Elephas maximus indicus: one gene and its partner. The protein of the gene in region 2 interacts with the protein of the main gene of each other region in a pairwise test. Links are inferred from orthologs where the notes say so. Each region holds a gene or a part of one and is shown on either strand. Other genes may lie near its edges.

Region 1 (9,507 bases), on a different chromosome or scaffold from region 2:
TTTAATCCTCACAACAACCTCCTGAGGAAGGAACTACTATTATCATTTTACAGACGGGGGAACAGGCTCAGAGGGACTAGGAACTTGTCCAAGGTCACACAGCTAGCAAGTAGAAAAGCCGGGATTCAAACCCAGGCTTATCTGGCCCCAGAGCCTGTATTGTAACTGTTAGTCTAGCTCTTGAACACCAGAATGACAAAGAAGGGATTAGAATCTTGGTTCTGCCCCTGACAAGCTGTGTGACTTTAGGCATGTTGCTTAATCTCTCTGAGCCTGGGTTTCCTCCTCTATAAAGTGGCCAACACAATCCCTATCTCCTGGAACCTTGGGAGGAGTAGATGAGAGGACATTTGTAGGGCCCTAGTGCAGTCCCTGGACCCTAGTGGAGGCTCAGGAGCCTCAGTTGCTGTCCCATTACTAAGGGGCAGTGCTGGCGTGGCGGTGTACAGAGAGCCCAGGCGTCCCAAGGGGGCTGACGGACCTCCCAAGGCCAGGGGAGGCTGCCTTGAGCAGGGCTTTGAGGGAGACACAGATGTCCCTGGGGTTGCAGGTAGGCGGGGCCTGTGGTCACCTAGCCCTCCCGCCCTTCCGCCTTCCCAGGCCCTGGAACTGGACTCCATTCGCAGCCACCACTGGTGCATCCAGGGCTGCAGCGCCTTCACTGGGGAGAACCTGCTGCTGGGCATTGACTGGCTCCTGGATGACATTTCCAGCCGCATCTTCACAGCCGACTGAGCCGCCCTGGACGCCCACCTCCCAGTCCAGACCCTCCCTTCCTGCACCCCAGCCCCGGCCATACACCATCCGTAGGGGGTGGGAGTCAGCCAGCTGGGCTAACACTCCCCGCCCCCTCCACATCCTGCTGCTGCTGCTGCTGCCCACTGCTGCTCCTGGGCCAGTCGGCTCCCGTGATAGGAGGCCTGCTGCCCTGGCTGCTACCCCCACTCCCCACCTGGCTCCCCTGGGGCTGCCACACTAAGAAGGGGACACTGGACCTGGGAGGAAACAGCCTCTGCTGCTACCGAGGCTATGGGCCTCGTCTTTGCTCCGCTGTGAGAATAAATCACTCCTTGCTCCTGGCTGAGTCATCTGTTGGTTGTCTTAGTCTAGTGCTGCTATAACAGAAACACCACAAGAGGATGGTTTTAACAAAGAGGAATTTATTCTCTCACACTCTAGGAAGCTAAAAGTCCAAATTCAGGGTGCCAGCTCCAGGGGAAGGCTTTCTGTCTCTGTGGGCTCTAGAGGAAGGTCCTTGTCATCAACCTTTCCCTGGTTGAGGAGCTTCTCAGCGCAGGGACCCCGGGTTCAGAGGTTGTGCTATTCTCCTGGCTCTTATTTCTTGATGGTATGAGGCCCCCTTGTCTCTCTGCTCACTTCTCTCTCTCTTATATCTCAAAAGAGATGGACTCAATACACAAACTAATCCTGTAGATTGAGTCTTGGGTCGTTAATATAACTGCCTCTTAACCATTATGCCACCGGGGTTTCCAAACTGCCTCTAATCCTTCCTAATTAACGTCACAGAAGTAGGATTTGCAGTACATAGGAAAATCACGTCAGATGACAAAGTGGTGGACAATCACACAATACTAGGAATCATGGCCTAGCCAAATTGACAAAGTGGTGGACAGTCACAATACTAGGAATCATGGCCTAGCCAAGTTGACACATTTTGGGGGGATAGTATTCAATCCATACCTCTGGTCCACCAGCTTCTTAGAGAGCCCCTGAGGGCCCACAGTCCAGCGAGACAGAGGGAGCAGGTGGCCTTTGTCTGAGGGTTAACTGGGCACGGGAGTGAGAAGGTAGAATATGCTCAGAAGCGGCTCCCCGAGAACCACTGGAAGCCAGCGTCTGCCAGAGTCTGGAAGAGCCCTGGACCCTTGCTTGTGCCCCTTGCTGCCCAGCCCGGTTTGCAAAACACCTGTATGCACATATGTGAGGACATACGGTTGACATTTAGTATCCGTTGGAATGTATTCAGCTACAAGTCACAGCAAACTCAATGCAAATGGTTCAGTGATAGGAACATGTACAAACTCATGAGCTGAAAGGTCCCGAGGACATCGTCAAGGACCCGGGTTCTTTCTGTGTTTCAGCCCTGCCCTACGCAGCATCGCTGGCTTGTTCTCAGGGACCCTGCCCTCCCTGGTAGCCTCAGTCTCCAGCTCCTGGTCCTCAGCCAGCAATGTCTAGAGACAATCATGATTTTCCCTGGACTTCCCCTACTGCCTCATCAGCCAGAATTCACGTCACAGCCACCCTGAGCCAATGGCTGGCCAGAGGAATTTGAGTACCATGATTGCTTTAGGTAATTCAAGATTTACTCCCAAATTGGCACTAAGATGCCCAAATCTGGGTTCTGTTAGGATGAAAATAGGCCTTTTCTTTTGCTGTGTTAATGAGGTCATACCACCACTAAAGGGTAGATCTTAAACCTAGGGATTTCTGAGTCATGAGAAGATCAGAATAGACGCAGAGACGCACGTGAGGGTCGTCTACAAGCCAAGGAACATTAAGGAACCAGGGAATGCCTGGGGCCACTGATGCCATAGTATCCATCTTGCACAGAAAACACACGGCAGGGGTTTCTAATTCTGTACATGGAAGGGTCGTCTGTATGTGTTCTAAGACAACATCGTTCTTGGTTGGCCACCCAACTAAAGCCCTGTTTCCAAATAGGATCGCATCCACGGGTACAAGGGCCAGGAATTCAACACATATTTTTGGGGAACACAATTCAGTCCATGACACATCCAACCACAGTAAACTTGGCCGTCCACTGATACCATGAGTCAGCTCAGCTTTCAGGCCTCCCTGGGGACCCTTCGTCAGCAACAGCATTGATTTAAAAAGTGACTTATGCACGGTTAGAGACAAAAGAGAAAATAATAAGAGTACACTCATCACTCAGGAATGTGAACTGTCAAAGGCATACTCATCACCGAAGAGTATGCACTGTGGCATACCCAGCAGGAGCCTAAAAGCAGGCCCCCTGCACTGTGAGCCTTCAGCTTTTCCATCTTCCCTGCCTTCTAAGGAGGACTTCTATGGCTCCCGTTGCTCCTCATGGCAATGGAATTGGTGGAGTTGGAGACCTGGAGAAGGCCAGGGGCCAAATTGATCTAGAGAGGAGAGGGCTTGGAGAAGACTGGGAGAGACAAGAAGGAAAGGGGAGGATGTGGGAGAGGCTGGGCCAGGGAGCAGAGTGGGAGGGAGAGATGGCAGACAGGGAGACTGGAGCCCCTGTTCCTCCCAAGAACTTTGGAGAGCAGGAGGCATGTCTAACGAGGTCTTCTAAGGAGTCCTGGTGTGTACTGTGTGTGTTTTATGCAAGACAGATGAGTCACAGCTTCCTCCTGAATACCTTTTGGGTGGCCTGCCATGTCAGGGCTCCCAAGAATCTGATTCTGGAGCATTTCCTTCTGGAGACCCGTCTTCCAGTGGCCCACACACCTGAGTTCCAGTAACAAGTGTGGCTGTTTCTTGAGCACTTGCCCCACCCTATCACATTTGAGCCTCACAACCACTGGGTGGGTGGTGCTATTTTTTATCAGTCAGGGCCCTGATGGCCAGCCACACACACGGATTCCAGCTGCCATCAGCAGAAAGGACATTTCTTGGAAAGATACTAGGCATTCACAGCATCCCAATGGAGGTCAGATGGCCAGGCTTGGGAAAGAGCGCGCCAGAGGTGGAGCAGCTAGACCTGTGGCCAAAATTGTTCTAGCTGTGCCCTCTGCCCCCCACACGAGATTCAAAGCCTCTGGAGAGAGTGTCCCCACCCCCAGAGGGGCCCCTGGAGCAAGGAAGGAGGAGCTGTCCCCATTGGGTTCTGGGGTAGAAGGCTGGAGAGCTACACATACTAGAGAAGCCCCTGCAAACAGAAACTGGGTGCTGCTGTGCTCACAGGAAGAGGCGGGGGAATGCTGGGCAGGCCAACAAATGACAAAAGGACATGTCCACAACAGTATGTTCTATCATGAGCACCCTCATTCTATTAAGAGAAACTGAGACTCCAGCTGTTAAGAGAAATTCACAGAGCTAGTAAAAGGTGTGACTTCAGAGCCCAGGATGGCATCCTGCTTCTCCAGGGTTGTTTTTGCTTCCCCACCCTTCCAGAAAACGTGAATTAGCGAATCCTGTGGAGGAACCCTGTGGGTGGTGCAAATGGTTACGGTTGGTCTAGCTACCAACCCAAGGTTGAAAGTCTGGGAGTCCACCCAGAGGCACCTTGGAAGAAAGGCCTGGCGATCCACTTTCAAAAAATCAGTCACTGAAAACACTGTGAAGCACAGTTCTCCTTTGACAGGCATGGGGTCACCATAAGGGAATCCACTGGAAGGCAACAGTTTTCTTTTTTTGGGGGGGGGGGGTTGGTAGATGGAAACATGGAAATAATTTGACTATGTTTAACACCATTGGGGAGCCCTGTTGGCACAGTGGTTAAGAGCTCGGCTGCTGACCAAAAAGTCAGCAGCTCAAATCCAGCAGCCGCTCCTTGGAAGCCCTATGGGGCAGTTCTACTCTGTCCTATAGGGTCGCTATGATTTGGAATCGACTCGAAGGCAGGGTTTGGTTTGGTGGTGAACACTGTTGGACGCAATACAGGTTAGTTGGACGAATGGAGGAACGACGAGAACTGGGAAGCTGGGCAGACGTCGTTTGGAGGTCCATGATGAGGGCCTACGCTCAGATAGGATGAGCGATCAGAACCTCCCCAATCCCTACTCTCAAATTACTATGTTTACACTTTACCAACGACCAGGAACTTTTCTGACGCTCCCTTGGCCCTGCGCCCGGGAGAGAGCAGCGCTGTCACTTGCAACCAGCTCCCTGGGCCTGAGGATGAAGGGCGCAGGCCCGGGCCAGGCGGCGGCTGGCGGAGGCAGGCCCGGAGGGGAGGGGGCAGCGTGGAGGAGGCGGAGGACGGCGGTCAGCTCCGCTCAGGTTTTGCTGCCATGTCCCGCCAGCCGAAGGACGACTTCGTGCGGCACTACACGGTCTCCGACCCCCGGACCCACCCCAAGGGCTACACCGAGTACAAAGTAACCGCGCAGGTGAGGTGGGGCCCAGCGGAGACCTTTACCTTTTTAACAAGAGGTGGGCTGTTTTGTACCTTAAGGCAAGACGCTGAAGGAAGCGCCCATTTTGGTCGACCGAAGTGAATTTCCCCTTTAAGGGGAGTCTGCGGAAGGGCCTTCCTTTACTCCTTAACCGTGAGGGGGCGGGGCCGTTGTAGGACTCTGCCACTTTTAAAAGGGCGTGGACGGTATTTCAGGACCCGCGAGGTGTGGGTACCCACGCCCATGTGGTGTGTTGGTATCAGGCTGTAAATTTCTCAAAATTAGCGTGAAAACTCTGGCTTAGCCCAAAGACTAGATAGTTCTCCAGCCTCTTGGTTTGGGTTTTGTTTATTGGTTTGTTTGTTATTTACATAAAAATCTTCTGAAGAGTTTACGTATTTTTATTCTAATAAAAGAATTAACTTATCAGTGGTTTAAAAAACTGTACAGTTCAAAAAGACTTAACAGCCTTCAGCAGTCATAGCGGGATGCCAATAGGTAAAGACTGAAGTTGATATCTGAAGCAGTAATAACATGATAAGATGTTACATAGAGGCGTGGAAGAAATCATGAAAAGAATTTAAAATAGGAACAGTATCACAAAATCTCTAGAATGTTATACAAGGAACTGGTAACAATGCGGGCCTCCGGGGAGAGGAACTAGGTGGCTGGGGGTAGGGTTGGGAAAGACTGCATTGTATATTTTTTGTACATTTCAGAGTTTTGAACCAGGTGACTGTTAAAACTGGCCCATGAGTAACTATTAAAGTGGACCAAAAACAAAGACACTTCCCAAGTAATTCCAGCGCAGAGTCCTACATATTTAAAGTGTGCTTTCCCCAAATCGTTTATACTGTTTTCCCATGCTTAAAAATACAAATAATGGAGATCAGGTGGGAAGGCTGTAGCCAGGAGCTATAACCTTTTCCTATAAGCATTTCTGTTGGATTTTTTTTTTTTTTTAACCAAGTAACGTGTTAGTTTGATATATTTTTATAATTTTTAAAGATAAATAATTTACCCTCCCTTTTTTTTTCTCATCACCCTTCCTCCTCATGGAAGGAACCATCGTTGGAGCTGCTTATTTATCCTTGCAGATGAACTTTACATTTACAAACAAATATATGTATCCACTTTTTATTATTATTTGCACACAATGTCATTCTGCGTCTTGCATTTTTCACCTGCTGGTATTCCTCAATGGTCTTTCGGTTTTGTATTTTTGTTGTCGTTTCACTTTTAAAACTTTTTAAATTAAGATGTAATTTACAGATAGTAATATGCACAAATCTTAAATGTACAACTCAATAAATTTTTACATATGTATACATCTCTGCAGATACCACTCTGATCAAGATATAGAATGTTTCCATCACCCCAGAAACTTTCTTTGCCCCTTTGCAGTCAGTAGCCCCCTTGCCACGGAGGTACCCACCATTCTGACTTCTGTTACCATAGATTAGTTTTGCATGTTCTTGAACCTCATATAGGGGCCCTAGTGGTGCAGTGGTTAAGCCTTTGGCTGCCAACCAAAAAGTTGGCAGTTGGAATCCACCGGCCACTCTTTGGAAACCCTATAGGGCAGTTCTACTCTGTCCTATAGGGTCCTGTGAGTTGGAATCGACTCAACGGCACTGGGTTTGGTTTTGTCTTTGAATCTGATACTGAAAATACTCTTTTGTGTCTGGCTTTTTTCACTCAATACAATGTTTTTGGAATTTGTCCATGTTGTTGCATGTATAAATAGTTTGTTCTTTTTTATTGCTGCATAGTATTCCATTGTGTGAATATTCTACCATTTCTTAATTCATTCTTCTGTTGTTGGACATTTGGGTTGCTTCTAAAATGTTTTTATTTCTTATGAAATAAGAAAAGATTGAAGTTGTCAAGGATTTCATTTTACTTGGATCCACAATCAACAGCCGTGGAAGCAGCAGACAAGAAATCAAAAGATGCTTTGCATTGGGTAAATCTGCTGCAAAGGACCTCTTCAAAGTGTTGAAAAGCAAAGATGTCACGTGGAAGACTAAGGTGCACCTGACCCAAGCCATGGTATTTTCAATCGCATCATATGTATGTGAAAGCTGGACAATGAATAAGGAAGACCAAAGAAGAATTGATGCCTTTGAATTGTGGTGTTGGTGAAGAATATTGAATATACCGTGGACTGCCAGAAAAACAAACAAATCTGTCTTGGAAGAAGTACAACCAGAATGCTCCTTAGAAGCAAGGATGGCGAGACTGCGTCTTACGTACTTTGGAGATGTTGTCAGGAGGGACGAGCCTCTGGAGAAGGATATCATGCTTGGCAAAGTACAGGGTCAGCGGAAAAGAGGAAGACCCTCAACGAGATGGATTGACACAGTGGCTGCAACAATGGGCTCAAGCATAACAACGATTTAAGGATGGCGCAGGACCGGGCAGTGTTTCGTTCTGTTGTGCATGGGGTTGCTATGAGTCGGAACCAACTCGACAGCACCTGACAACAACAACAAAGTTGTATGAACATTCGTATACAAGTCTTTTTGTGAACATACGCACATTTCTTCTTGGTATATACCTAGGAGTGGGGTTACTGGGTCATAGGATAGGCTCAAGCATAACAATGATTGTAAGGATGGCGCAGGATCAGGCAGTTTTTAGTTCTTTTGTGCATAGGGTTGCTATGAGTCGGAACCGACTTGACAGCACCTAACAACAACAACAACAACAACAATGGTACAGACATATGTATAGCTTTATTAGAAATTGCCAGTCTTCCAAAGTGGTTTTGCCTTTTTATGCCCCCATTCTCATCAACACTTGATATTATCAATATCTTTAATTTTACGCATTATTGGTAGGATTGTAGTATCTCATTGGGATATTTGCATTTCTCGATGACTAATGGCGTTGAATATATTTCATAATTCTATAGATGATTCAAACATCTTCTTTTGTGGTAGATGCCTGTTCAAGTATTTTACACATTTTTAAAAGTTGGGTCGTTTGTATTTTTAACATTGATTTATAGGAGTTCTTTCTATATTATGGATGAACCTTTTGTTAAGTATAGGTTCTTCAGTGATCTTTAAATATGGTTTCTTTTACCCAAAATATCTTAGACAGGTCTCTGCTGTAAAAAGCAAAGGCCAAAGTTTTAAACCTGGCAAGTAGGATTAACCTCCTTACTTGGTATGTGGTCTTGTGCAGTTCATGTCCCCTCTCAGAACCTCCTTCTCCTCCTTTTTTCTCTGAGCATGACAATCACGTCTGCCTCACTGGGTTGTAGGATAATGAACAGAAAATGTTTTGGAAACTGCGAAGTGCTCAAAGCTGTACAACATTATTTTTCAATTATTATGAACACAACATAATGAAAGCCAAGTCTTCTTTCTACCCCAGGCCCTACCCCTCCAGGAGTCACCAACCCCAGTAACAGGTCCTTCTGTGTGCACAGTATTTGGGCACAGAACTTCCTTCTTTAAGGAAGTAGTGGCTCCTGACAGAGCTTCATTCTTTAGAGAATTTGGGGTTCTTTGGTTTCCGAAGGAGACCTAGGGACCTGCCCTTTGAAAGAACTGGGACAAAAGTTCCCAGGAGCTAGCTTTGGATGGAGCAGTCTGGACAGGCCTTTAGAGACCTCCCCCCGCCCCCCACACCACCCCACCATGTGACAGAAGAAGAAACTGAAGTGCCTGGTGGAAATGTAGCCAAAGTACACTCAAAGCGTTGAAGCCAAGGCACTGTGATACCAGTGGGCAAAGGGTATTGCCCCTTAGAGGGAAGCTAGGAGGTGTCAGGCATCCTCAGCTTTCACAGGGTCTTGAGGTGTCCGAGGTCAGTCTCTGGTCTCACCTAGTTCTTGCTTTTCTTCCCCAGTTCATCTCAAAGAAGGACCCAGAGGACATCAAAGAGGTGAGGTTCCTGGGAGGAAGGGGGCCCTTCCTTACCTGCAGCTCTGAACCAGTCACGTAGCAGTTGGTAATTCTGGAGGAGACCCAGCCCTCCTTCCTCTCTGCCCTGGGAGGAGGGGGCACAGTGCCCTAGTCCTCATACCCTGGGATCAGGCTGGCAGACAGCAGAGGCGGGGAGGTGGCTTCCACCTTGCTGGTCCAGGCCATGCCTCCCATCCCACTCAGGTGGTGGTCTGGAAGCGGTACAGCGACTTCCGCAAGCTACACGGAGACCTAGCCTACACCCACCGAAACCTCTTCCGCCGCCTTGAGGAGTTCCCCTCTTTCCCCCGCGCCCAGGTGTTTGGTGAGTATTGGGCTTGGGCACTCAGGCCAAAGAGGGAGGGAGAGTTGGGCAAAAGGAACCTCTGCTGGTGGGGGCTGGCTAGAGGGGGACAGAGACACATTTCAGAGAGCAAATAGACATCTAGTAAATGAATGAATGGATGGAACCTTGGAGACGGCCCCATGTTAGCGATGGGGAAATCAAGGCTTAGAGCTGC
Region 2 (10,342 bases):
AAAAGAGAAGAACATGCTCAGCATATCTCAAGCTGAAAGAACTGAAGAAAAAATTCAAGCTTCAAGTTCCAATGATGAAGGATTCTACGGGGAAAATACTAAATGACACAGGAAGCATCACAAGATCATTCAAAAGCGGCCTCCAGAGTTTCAGTTTACAAGATAAACATACAAAAATCACTTGGATTCCTCTACATCAACAAAAAGAACATCGAAGAGGAAATAACCAAATCAATACCATTCACAGTAGCCCCCAAGAAGATAAAATACTTAGGAATAAATCTTACCAAAGATGTAAAAGACCTATCAAAGAAAACTACAAAGTACTAGTGCAAGAAACTAAAAGGGACCTACGTAAGTGGAAAAACATACCTTGCTCATGGATAGGAAGACTTAACATAGCAAAAATGTCTATTCTACCAAAAGCCATCTATATGTACAATCCACTTCCGATCCAAATTCCAACGACATTTTTTAATGTGATGGAGAAACAAATCACCAACTTCATATGGAAGGGAAAGAAGCCTCAGGTAAGTAAAGCATTACTGAAAAAGAAGAAGAAAGTGGGAGGCCTCACTCTACCTGATTTTAGAACCTATTATACAGCCACAGTAGTCAAAACAGCCTGGTACTGGTACAACAACAGGCACATAGACCAACGGAACAGAATTGAGAACCCAGATATAAATCCATCCACATATGAGCAGCCAATATTTGACAAAGGCCCAGTGACAGTTAAATGGGGAAAAGATAGTCTTTTTAACAAATGTTGCTGGCATAACAGGATATCCATTTGCAAAAAAATGAAACAGGACCCATACCTCACACCATGCACAAAAACTAACTCCAAGTGGATCAAAGACCTAAACATAAAGACTAAAACGATAAAGATCATGGAAGAAAAAATAGGGACAACGTTAGGAGCACTAATACAAGGCATAAACAGAATACAAAACATTACGAAAAATGACGAAGAGAAACCAGATAACTGGGAGCTCCTAAAAATCAAACACCTATGCTCATCTAAAGACTTCACCAAAAGAGTAAAAAGACCACCTACAGACTGGGAAAGAATTTTCAGCTATGACATCTCCAACCAGCGCCTGATCTCTAAAATCTATATGATTCTGTCAAAACTCAACCACAAAAAGACAACCCAATCAAGAAATGGGCAAACGATATGAACACACACTTCACTAAAGAAGATATTCAGGCAGCTAACAGATACATGAGAAAATGCTCTCAATCATTAGCCATTAGAGAAATGCAAATTAAAACTACAATGAGATTCCATCTCACTCCAACAAGGCTGGCATTAATCCAAAAAACACAAAATAATAAATGTTGGAGAGGCTGCGGAGAGATGGGAACTCTTATACACTGCTGGTGAGAATGTAAAATGGTACAACCACTTTGGAAATCTATCTGGCGTTTTCTTAAAAAGTTAGAAATAGAACTATCATACAACCCAGAAATCCCACTCCTCGGAATATACCCTAGAGAAATAAGAGCCTTCACACAAACAGATATATGCACACCCATGTTTATTGCAGCTCTGTTTACAACAGCAAAAAGCTGGAAGCAACCAAGGTGTCCATCAATGGATGAATGTTTAAATAAATTGTGGTATATTCACACAATGGAATACTATGCATCGATAAAGAACAGTGATGAATCTGTGAAACATTTCATAACATGGAGGAACCTGGAAGGCATTATGCTGAGCGAAATTAGTCAGAGGCAAAAGGACAAATATTGTATAAGACCACTATTCTAAGATCTTGAGAAATAGTATAAACTGAGAAGAACACATACTTTTGTGGTTATGAGGCGGGGAGGGAGGGAGGGAGGGTGGGAGAGGGTTTTTTACTGATTAATTAGTAGATAAGAACTGCTTCAGGTGAAGGGAAGGACAATACTCAATACAGGGAAGGTCAGCTCAACTGGACTGGACCCAAAGCAAAGAAGTTTCCGGGATAAACTGAATGCTTTGAAGGTCAGTGGAGCAAGGGCAGGGGTTTGGGGACCATGGTTTGAGGGGACTTCTAAGTCAATTGGCAAAATAATTCTATTATGAAAACATTCTGCATCCCACTTTGAAATGTGGTGTCTGGGGTCTTAAATGCTAACAAGCGGCCATCTAAGATGCATCAATTGGTCTCAACCCACCTAGATCAAAGGAGAGTGAAGAACACCAAGGTCACATGATAACTAAGAGCCCAAGAGACAGAAAGGGCCACATGAACCAGAGACCTACATCATCCTGAGACCAGAAGAACTAGTTGGTGCCCGGCCACAATCGATGACTGCCCTGACAGGGAGCACAACAGAGAACCCCTGAGGGAGCAGGAGATCAGTGGGATGCAGACCCCAAATTCTTACAAAAAGACCATACTTAATGGTCTGACTGAGACTAGAGGAATCCTGGCAGTCATGGTCCCCAAACCTTCTGTTGGCCCAGGACAGTAACCATTCCCAAACACAACTCATCAGGCATGAAAGGGACTGGACAGTGGGTAGGAGAGAGATGCTGATGAAGAGTGAGCTAATTATATCAGGTGGACACTTGAGACTCTGTTGGCATCTCCTGTCTGCAGCGGGGAGGGGAGGATAGAGAGAGTTGGAAGCTGGCAAAATTGTCACGAAAGGAGAGACTGGAGGGGCTGACTCATTGGGGGAGAGCAAGTGGGAGTACGGAGTAAGATGTATATAAACTTATATGTGACAGTCTGACTTGATTTGTAAATGTTCACTTGAAGCTCAATAAAAGTTAATAAAAAAAAAAAAAAAAGACAAACAACCCAATCAAAAAGTGGGCAAAGGATATGAACACGCACTTCACTAAAGAAGATATTCAGGCAGCTAACAGATACATGAGAAAATGCTCTCGATCATTAGCCATTAGAGAAATGCAAATTAAAACTATGATGAGATTCCATCTCACTCCAATAAGGCTGGCATTAATCCAAAAAACACAAAATAATAAATGTTGGAGAGGCTGCGGAGAGATGGGAACTCTTATACACTGCTGGTGGGAATGTAAAATGGTACAACCACTTTGGAAATCTATCTGGCGTTTTCTTAAAAAGTTAGAAATAGAACTACCACACAACCCAGAAATCCCACTCCTCGGAATATACCCTAGAGAAATAAGAGCCTTTACACGAACAGATATATGCACACCCATGTTTACTGCAGCACTGTTTACAATAGCAAAAAGCTGGAAGCAACCAAGGTGTCCATCAACGGATGAATGGATAAATAAATTATGGTATATTCACACAATGGAATACTAGCCAAACCCACTGCCATCGAGTCGATTCTGACTCAATGAAATACTACGCATCGATAAAGAACAGTGATGAATCTGCGAAACATTTCATAACATGGAGGAACCTGGAAGGCATTATGCTGAGTGAAATTAGTCAGATGCAAAAGGACAAATATTGTATAAGATCTTGAGAAATAGTTTAAACTGAGAAGAACACATTCTTTTGTGGTTAGGAGATGGGGGAGGGAGGGAGGGTGGGAGAGGGTTATTTACTGATTAGATAGTAGATAAGAACTACTTTAGGTAAAGGGAAGGACAACACTCAATACAGGGAAGGTCAGCTCAACTGGACTGGACCAAAAGCAAAGAAGTTTCCGGGATAAACTGAATGCTTTGAAGGTCAGCAGAGCAAGGGTGGGGGTTTGGGGACTATGGCTTCAGGAGACATGTAAGTCAATTGGCAAAATAAATTCTATTAAGAAAACATTCTGCATCCCACTTTGAACTGTGGTGTCTGGGGTCTTAAATACTAACAAGCGGCCATCTAAGATGCATCAATTGGTCTCAACCCACCTGGATCAAAGGAGAATGAAGAACACCAAGGTCACAAGATCATTACGACCCCAAGAGACAGAAAGGGCCACATGAACTAGAGACTTACATCATCCTGAGACCAGAAGAACTAGATGGTGCCCGGCCACAACCGATGACTGCCCTGACAGGGAGCACAACAGAGAACCCCTGAGAGAGCAGGAGGTCAGTGGGATGCAGACCCCAAATTCTCATAAAAAGACCAGACTTGATGGTCTGACTGAGACTAGAGGAATCCCGGCAGTCATGGTCCCCAAACCTTCTGTTGGCCCAGGACAGTAACCATTCCCAAAGACAGCTCATCAGACATGGAATGGTCTCGACAATGGGTTGGAGAGAGATGCTGATGAGGAGTGAGCTACTTGTATCAGGGGGACACTTGAGACTATGTTGGCATCTCCTGTCTGGAGGGGAGATAGGAGGGTAGAGGGGGTTAGAAACTGGCAAAACGGTCATGAAAGGAGAGACTGGAAGGAGGGAGTGGGCTGACTCAATGGGAGTATGTAGTACGGTGTATATAACTTTATCTGTGAGAGACTGACTTGATTTGTAAACTTTCACTTAAAGCACAATAAAAAATAAAAATAAAAAAAAAAGTGGCTGCCGCAGGATATGGACAAGAAAGCCAGAAATTCAAGTGGGATTCAGAAGAGGATGTAGAACAAGGGATTACTAATGTCAGACGGATCCTGGCTGAAGGCAGAGAATACCAGAAAGATGTTTACCTGTGTTTTATTGACTACGCAAAGGTATTCAACTCTGTGGACCATAACAAATTACGGATAACATTGAGAAGAATGGGAATTCCAGAACACTTAATTGTGCTCATGAGGAACCTGGACATAGATCAAGAGGCAGTTCAAACCAGAACAGGGGAATACTGCCTGGTTTAAGGTAAGGAAATGTGTGTGTCAGGGTTGTATCCTTTCACCATACTATTCAATCTGTATGCTGAGCAAATAATTCAAGAAGCTGGACTACAAGAAGAAGAAAGGGGCATCAATATTGGAGGAAGACTCATTAACAACCTGCACTAAGCAGACGACACAACCTTACTTGCTGAAAGTGAAGAGGACTTGAAGCACTTATTGATGAAGATCAAAGACCACAGCCTTCATTATGGATTACACTTTAACATAAAGGAAACAAAAATCCTCACTGTTGGACCAATAAGCAACATCATGATAAATGGAGAAAAGATTGAAGTTGTCAAGGATTTTATTTTATTTGGATCCACGATCAACACCCATAGAAGCAGCAGTTGTTGAACAATCAAAAAAAATGCATTGCATTGGGCAAATCTGCCCCAAAAGACCTCTTTAAAGTGTTGAAAAGCAGAGATGTCACCTTGAAGACTAAGGTGCGCCTGACCCAAGCCATGGTGTTTCAACTACCTTATATGCATTCAAAAGCTGGACAATGAATAAGGAAGACTGAAGAATTGACACCTTTGAATTGTGATGTTGGCGGAGAATACTGAGTATATAATGGACTGCTAAAAAAAAAAAAATCTGTCTTGGAAGAGGCACAACCAGAATGCTCCTTGGAAGCAAGGATGCCGAGACTGCGTCTCACATACTTTGGACATGTTATCAGGAGGGATCAGTTCCCGGAGAAGGACATCATGTTTGGGTAAGTACAGGGTCATCGAAAAAGAGGAGGACCCTCAATGAGATGGATTGACACAGTGGCTGCAAAAATGGGCTCAACCATAAGAAGGATTGTGAAAATGGCGCAGGACCAGGCAGTGTTCGGTTCTGTTGTACATAGGGGTCGCTATGAGTCGAAACGGACTGGACGGCACCTAACAACAACTTGGAGAAGTGGTTAAGAGGTTGGCTGCTAACCAAAAGATCAGCAGTTCGAATCCACCAGCCGCCCCTTGGAAACCCTAGGGGCAGTTATACTCTGCCGTAGAGGTTCGCTGTGAGTTGGAATCAACCCCGCCCTGGCGGCATAGTGTTTTAGAGCTCGGCTGCCAACCAAAAGGTGGGCAGTTCGACCAGTAGCTCCTTGGTAGCCTGATTGGGCAGTTCTACCCTGTCATATAGAGTCACTTTGAGTTGGAATCACTCGCAGCAACGGGTTTGATTTTGGGGGGGGGGGTGGGTTTAGAGTCTGAGAATGACCGCGTTATACAGTGTCATTGCACTGTCCGCGGGGGAGTACAGGACACCTGCTTCTACCATTAGAGCTCCTATAACGCCCACTTCCAGTAGCCTGTTTCCCGACCCTGACTCCCACACGCCTAGCTTCTGAACATAGAACTTCCGGAACGCTCGAAGGACACCCGCCGTCGCCGTATTTGGACTACATTTCCCAAGGTGCTTTGCGAGTGACCCTGCCATCATGGCGTCCATCGCACCAGACACGATCAGGACTACAACTCCCACGATGCTTAGCGACAGAACTCCTGCCCCCCGCGGCTCCGGAGCCTCGCCACGTCCGCTCCGCTGGGTGAGGCCGGGCTCGGGACGGGCGGACAGCGTCTACCGGGCCCGGAGCTCGTTACAGCGGTTCTACCCCTAACCGCGCAGACATGGCGGCGGAGAAGGACCAGCAGAAGGATGCTCAGGGAGAAGGGCTGAGCGCCACGTGAGCGATCCGGTTTAGCCCCCTAACCCAGGACTCAGGAGTGAGGGTCCCCAACTTCCCCCTCCCTCGGGTCCCAGGAGTCCAGGTCCCAGCCCTCCTTCTCTCAGACACGGGAGCCTAGACCCCGGGTCCCCTTCTTTTCTAGGACTCTGGAGTTTGGGCCTCCTTTGGGGTCCGGGATTTGGGCCCCCTCCCGAGCCCCCCCGCCCAGAACCCGGGAGTCCCGCCCTCTCAGCCTCCTCCTTCGGGGCTCCCGGCCATCCCCGTACACCGCTGACCCAGCCCTGCCCGCCAGGACCCTGCTGCCGAAGCTGATTCCATCCGGCGCGGGCCGTGAGTGGCTGGAGCGGCGCCGCGCGACCATCCGGCCCTGGGGCCCCTTCGTAGATCAGCGGCGCTTCTCGCGGCCCCGCAACCTGGGCGAGCTGTGCCAGCGCCTCGTTCGCAATGTGGAGCACTACCAGAGCAACTACGTGTTCGTGTTCCTGGGCCTCATCCTGTACTGCGTGTGAGTGCCTCCGGGGACGGGACGCCGCCCTTGCCTCGCGGGCCCGGCATCGCCCCTCCAGGTGGCCCTGCTTGGTCGATCCCGCTCTTCTCTGGCCGCCTCCCGCCCCCCACTGGCCACGCCCCACCTCTGTGGGGCAGCCCGGCCAGACCTTATTCCCAGAGGCCCAGACCCCTACTTCCTTATCGGCTTGGCCAGGACAGTGTGACCAGAGGTGACCCGTCTTTGCGTACCGTCAAGGAACCATTCTGCCATCTCCCAGTGTAGAAGGATCAGGGCCCCTGGCTGGACAAGCCCAGCTGCCTGACCCCTGTCTCCCCGCACTTCTCTCCAGGGTGACATCCCCCATGCTGTTGGTAGCTCTGGCCGTCTTCTTTGGTGCCTGTTACATCCTCTATCAGCGCACGTTGCAGTCCAAGCTCGTGCTCTTTGGTGAGAAGCCCCCTGCCTAGACGGAGCCCCGGCCCTCTAGTCCTGTCTCTTGGAACTTGAGCATCAGACCCCCAAATCCAAGCCTTTCTGAACCTAAGTCCGCCCGGGGCCTAGATCTATACTTAAAAAAAAAAAAAAAAAAACCTGTTCTGGTCTTTTCCAACTCAGAGCGACCCTACAGGACTGAGCAGAACCTCCCCATAGGGTTTCCAAGGAGGGCCTGGTGGATTCCGACTGCTGACATTTTGGTTAGCAGTGGAACTCTACGCCACCAGGGTTTCCACTATACTATGTCCCTCAAGCCTGATGGCTTAAGATCCCGGACATCCCAGATGCTCCCACCCATCTCAGCCCCCTAAACTGCAAAATGAGATACCCCAGAACTCATTCTCCACCTGGCTTCTCCTGTCCCTGAAATCTCCCCTCCCTACACCCTCCTCTAGCCTGTCTGCTGGAAAGCATCAACTGCAGGTACCCACATTGGCCACAAGGTGGCAGCCGTACATGGCCTAGATCTTGCGCCCTTCGCTTTCCTCCTTCCTGCGGTGGAAGCTGGAAGTTAGGATTTCTGAGAGAGGGAAACTGAGGCCTGTGGCTTTTGTAGAATACCTCGTGTGGTCCCAGCCTGGTACCATGCACCTTTGGGATGACAAGGGGGGCCTGGGTCCCCACCCAGGGGAAGCTCAAAGTTTGGAGTGGAGCCAGAGGGGAGTTGGGATCAGACAATCAGAAAGCTCTAAGACAAAGTTGTTCATGGGGCTCCAATTGAAATTCTTTCAGAAGCCTACAAGTCACATACCTGACAAAAGTGGACTGGGGGAGGGACATGCTGGGCAACCCAGGGTGCATCTAAGACAGAGCTACAACTTGGCTTCAGCTGACTGGTGTCACCAGAGAATGCAGGCCAGTGTGACCCAACCTTCCAGTCTTCCATGAGAAGCCAGAAGTCTGTTTTTCTGGGAAACCATTCAGTTCACTTGCCAGCCACAAATCAAATTCTTGTGAAACACTGTGCAAACTCAAAAAAAAAAACAACACACATCTGCTGGTCAGACTTGGTCTGTGGGCCACCACTTGGAGACCCCTGGTCTACATGAATGCAGGCTGGAGTAGCAGAGGCCTAGTCTGGAGCAGCAGAAGCGGGGTTGAAGGGCAGGGGCCTGAGGAGAGTGCTGTGTTCTGGAAGACAGTGGGGACCTGGGAGAAAGAAGTTGGGGCCAGGGCTCAGAGGGGCTTGGTTTGAGTTTAGATTTGATCTTGAGGGTCGTGGAGCTTGTGATACCAGTTGCGTGGTGGGGGGGGTACTCTGAGAGAGGGCATGGAGTGTTGGAAAAGCTGCCCAATGCGTCTGTCCCCCAGGCCGAGAGGTGAGCCCAGCCCATCAGTACGCTCTGGCTGGAGGCGTCTCCTTCCCTTTCTTCTGGCTGGCTGGTGCAGGCTCGGCTGTCTTCTGGGTTCTGGGTGAGTACAGGGTCTGGGTGGCGGGTGGGCAGTGCAGGCCAGGTGAGGAAGCGTGGCCCTGAGCTGCCCGTTTCCTGCAGGAGCCACCCTCGTGGTCATCGGCTCCCATGCCGCCTTCCACCAGATCGAGGCAGTGGATGGGGAAGAGCTGCAGATGGAGCCTGTGTGAAGTGGCCTCAAGAACCTGCGGGCCTCCCAGGCCTGCCGCTCTGCCCCGGTTCACCCCCATCCTGCAAGGCTCTCCTGCTGGGGACAAAGCTCCCTCCCACATCACAAGCCCAGGGAGGCCTCCCAGCTTTGGAAATAAAGCTGTTACAGTTGTTGTCCTGCAGACATTGTCCCAGTGTCTTCTGTGGGTCTGTACAGAGTAACGCTGGGCATACTGAGGATCCAAGACAGACAGGGCTCAGGGTGTGGGGGAGACAATAGAAAGATGTACAAGCAAGATATAGGATGTCAGATGGTGACAGGTGCTGAGGAGGAAGAACACATTGGGAAAGGAGAGCGTAGGGGGTCCCCGTGGCCACCCCCAGGTTCGATGATTGTCTGGGAAGACTTCCCGCGATGTGGCTTACAGCTGTACTAAGATGCATTGCAGTGAAAGCACACACCGCAATCACCAGAGGAGACCAGGCACAAGCTTCCAGAGTCTTCTCCCTGGAGTCACACGAGACACGTTTTGCTCCTCCCGCAGAGAATTGTGACAACAAGTGTGAAATGTTGTCTACCAGGGAAGCTCATTAGAGACTCAACCCAGGAATTCATTGGGGGTTGGCCACATAGGCACTCTGCCTACCAGGTACTAATACTCGAGACTCCCTGAAGGAAAGCAGGTGTTCAGCATAAACCATACAATTTGCACAGTTTAGACACAGTGAGCCACTCTTATCGGGCAACAGTGGGAACCCCACCCCTGAAATCCTGTTCCCAGATGCCAGCCAAGAGCCAGCCTTGCAAGCAGGCCTGCCACATAACTTTTCAGCACAGAGAAAGTACTGGAGATGGGCTGCAGGTTTAAGGAGGTGGCCAGAAAAGGCCTCCCTGAGAGACACTGAGCAAAGACCTGAATCGAGGCAAGAAGCAGCTATAGGGTCCTTTGGAAGAAGAGCTTTCTGGGCAGAGGAAGCAGCAGGTGCAAAGGTCAGGAGATAGGTCAAAGGCCGGGAGGCCACGACCGGAGCTGATGAGTAAGATAAAGAGTGGGAGTGAGGTAGAGGGGCCAGATCACATAGCCTGGTGTTCTGTAATCATGTCATACTAGGTACAGTCACAGGTATCTTTGATGGTGGGACACAACACAAAGACACTTGGGGAGGTGAAAGGGAGAGCTCTTTGTAACGTACAGCCCTAAACAGAAGAGGCTACCACGTAGGGCCCCACAGAGAGTTGAATTTGGGGACAGGCTGACAGCAAGCTGGGGATGTAGGAGGTGGCTTAAGTATACCAAGCGAGATGGCATTATCTAGGTTCTGAGGGCTCCCTGT

The links. The genes of interacting proteins can lie anywhere in the genome.
Region 1: the proteins of RABAC1 (region 2) and SNX15 interact in binary tests that used the Homo sapiens proteins (3 or more experiments, as listed by UniProt). The two-hybrid records come from large-scale screens. The link is inferred for Elephas maximus indicus from reciprocal best matches to the Homo sapiens genes RABAC1 and SNX15.

Annotation. Positions count from the first base shown.
Region 1 is NC_064825.1:128,194,699-128,204,205, forward strand, and holds the start of SNX15 (sorting nexin-15), read left to right. Parts: upstream 1-4,843; 5' UTR 4,844-4,964; coding exon 4,965-5,063; intron 5,064-8,930; coding exon 8,931-8,966; intron 8,967-9,190; coding exon 9,191-9,311; intron 9,312-9,507. Other genes in the region: ARL2 (ADP-ribosylation factor-like protein 2), read left to right, coding at 601-735. UniProt on the Homo sapiens protein: May be involved in several stages of intracellular trafficking. Overexpression of SNX15 disrupts the normal trafficking of proteins from the plasma membrane to recycling endosomes or the TGN.
Region 2 is NC_064829.1:108,959,734-108,970,075, forward strand, and holds RABAC1 (prenylated Rab acceptor protein 1), read left to right. Parts: upstream 1-6,275; 5' UTR 6,276-6,401; coding exon 6,402-6,457; intron 6,458-6,752; coding exon 6,753-6,965; intron 6,966-7,299; coding exon 7,300-7,397; intron 7,398-8,756; coding exon 8,757-8,858; intron 8,859-8,938; coding exon 8,939-9,027; 3' UTR 9,028-9,189; downstream 9,190-10,342. UniProt on the Homo sapiens protein: General Rab protein regulator required for vesicle formation from the Golgi complex. May control vesicle docking and fusion by mediating the action of Rab GTPases to the SNARE complexes.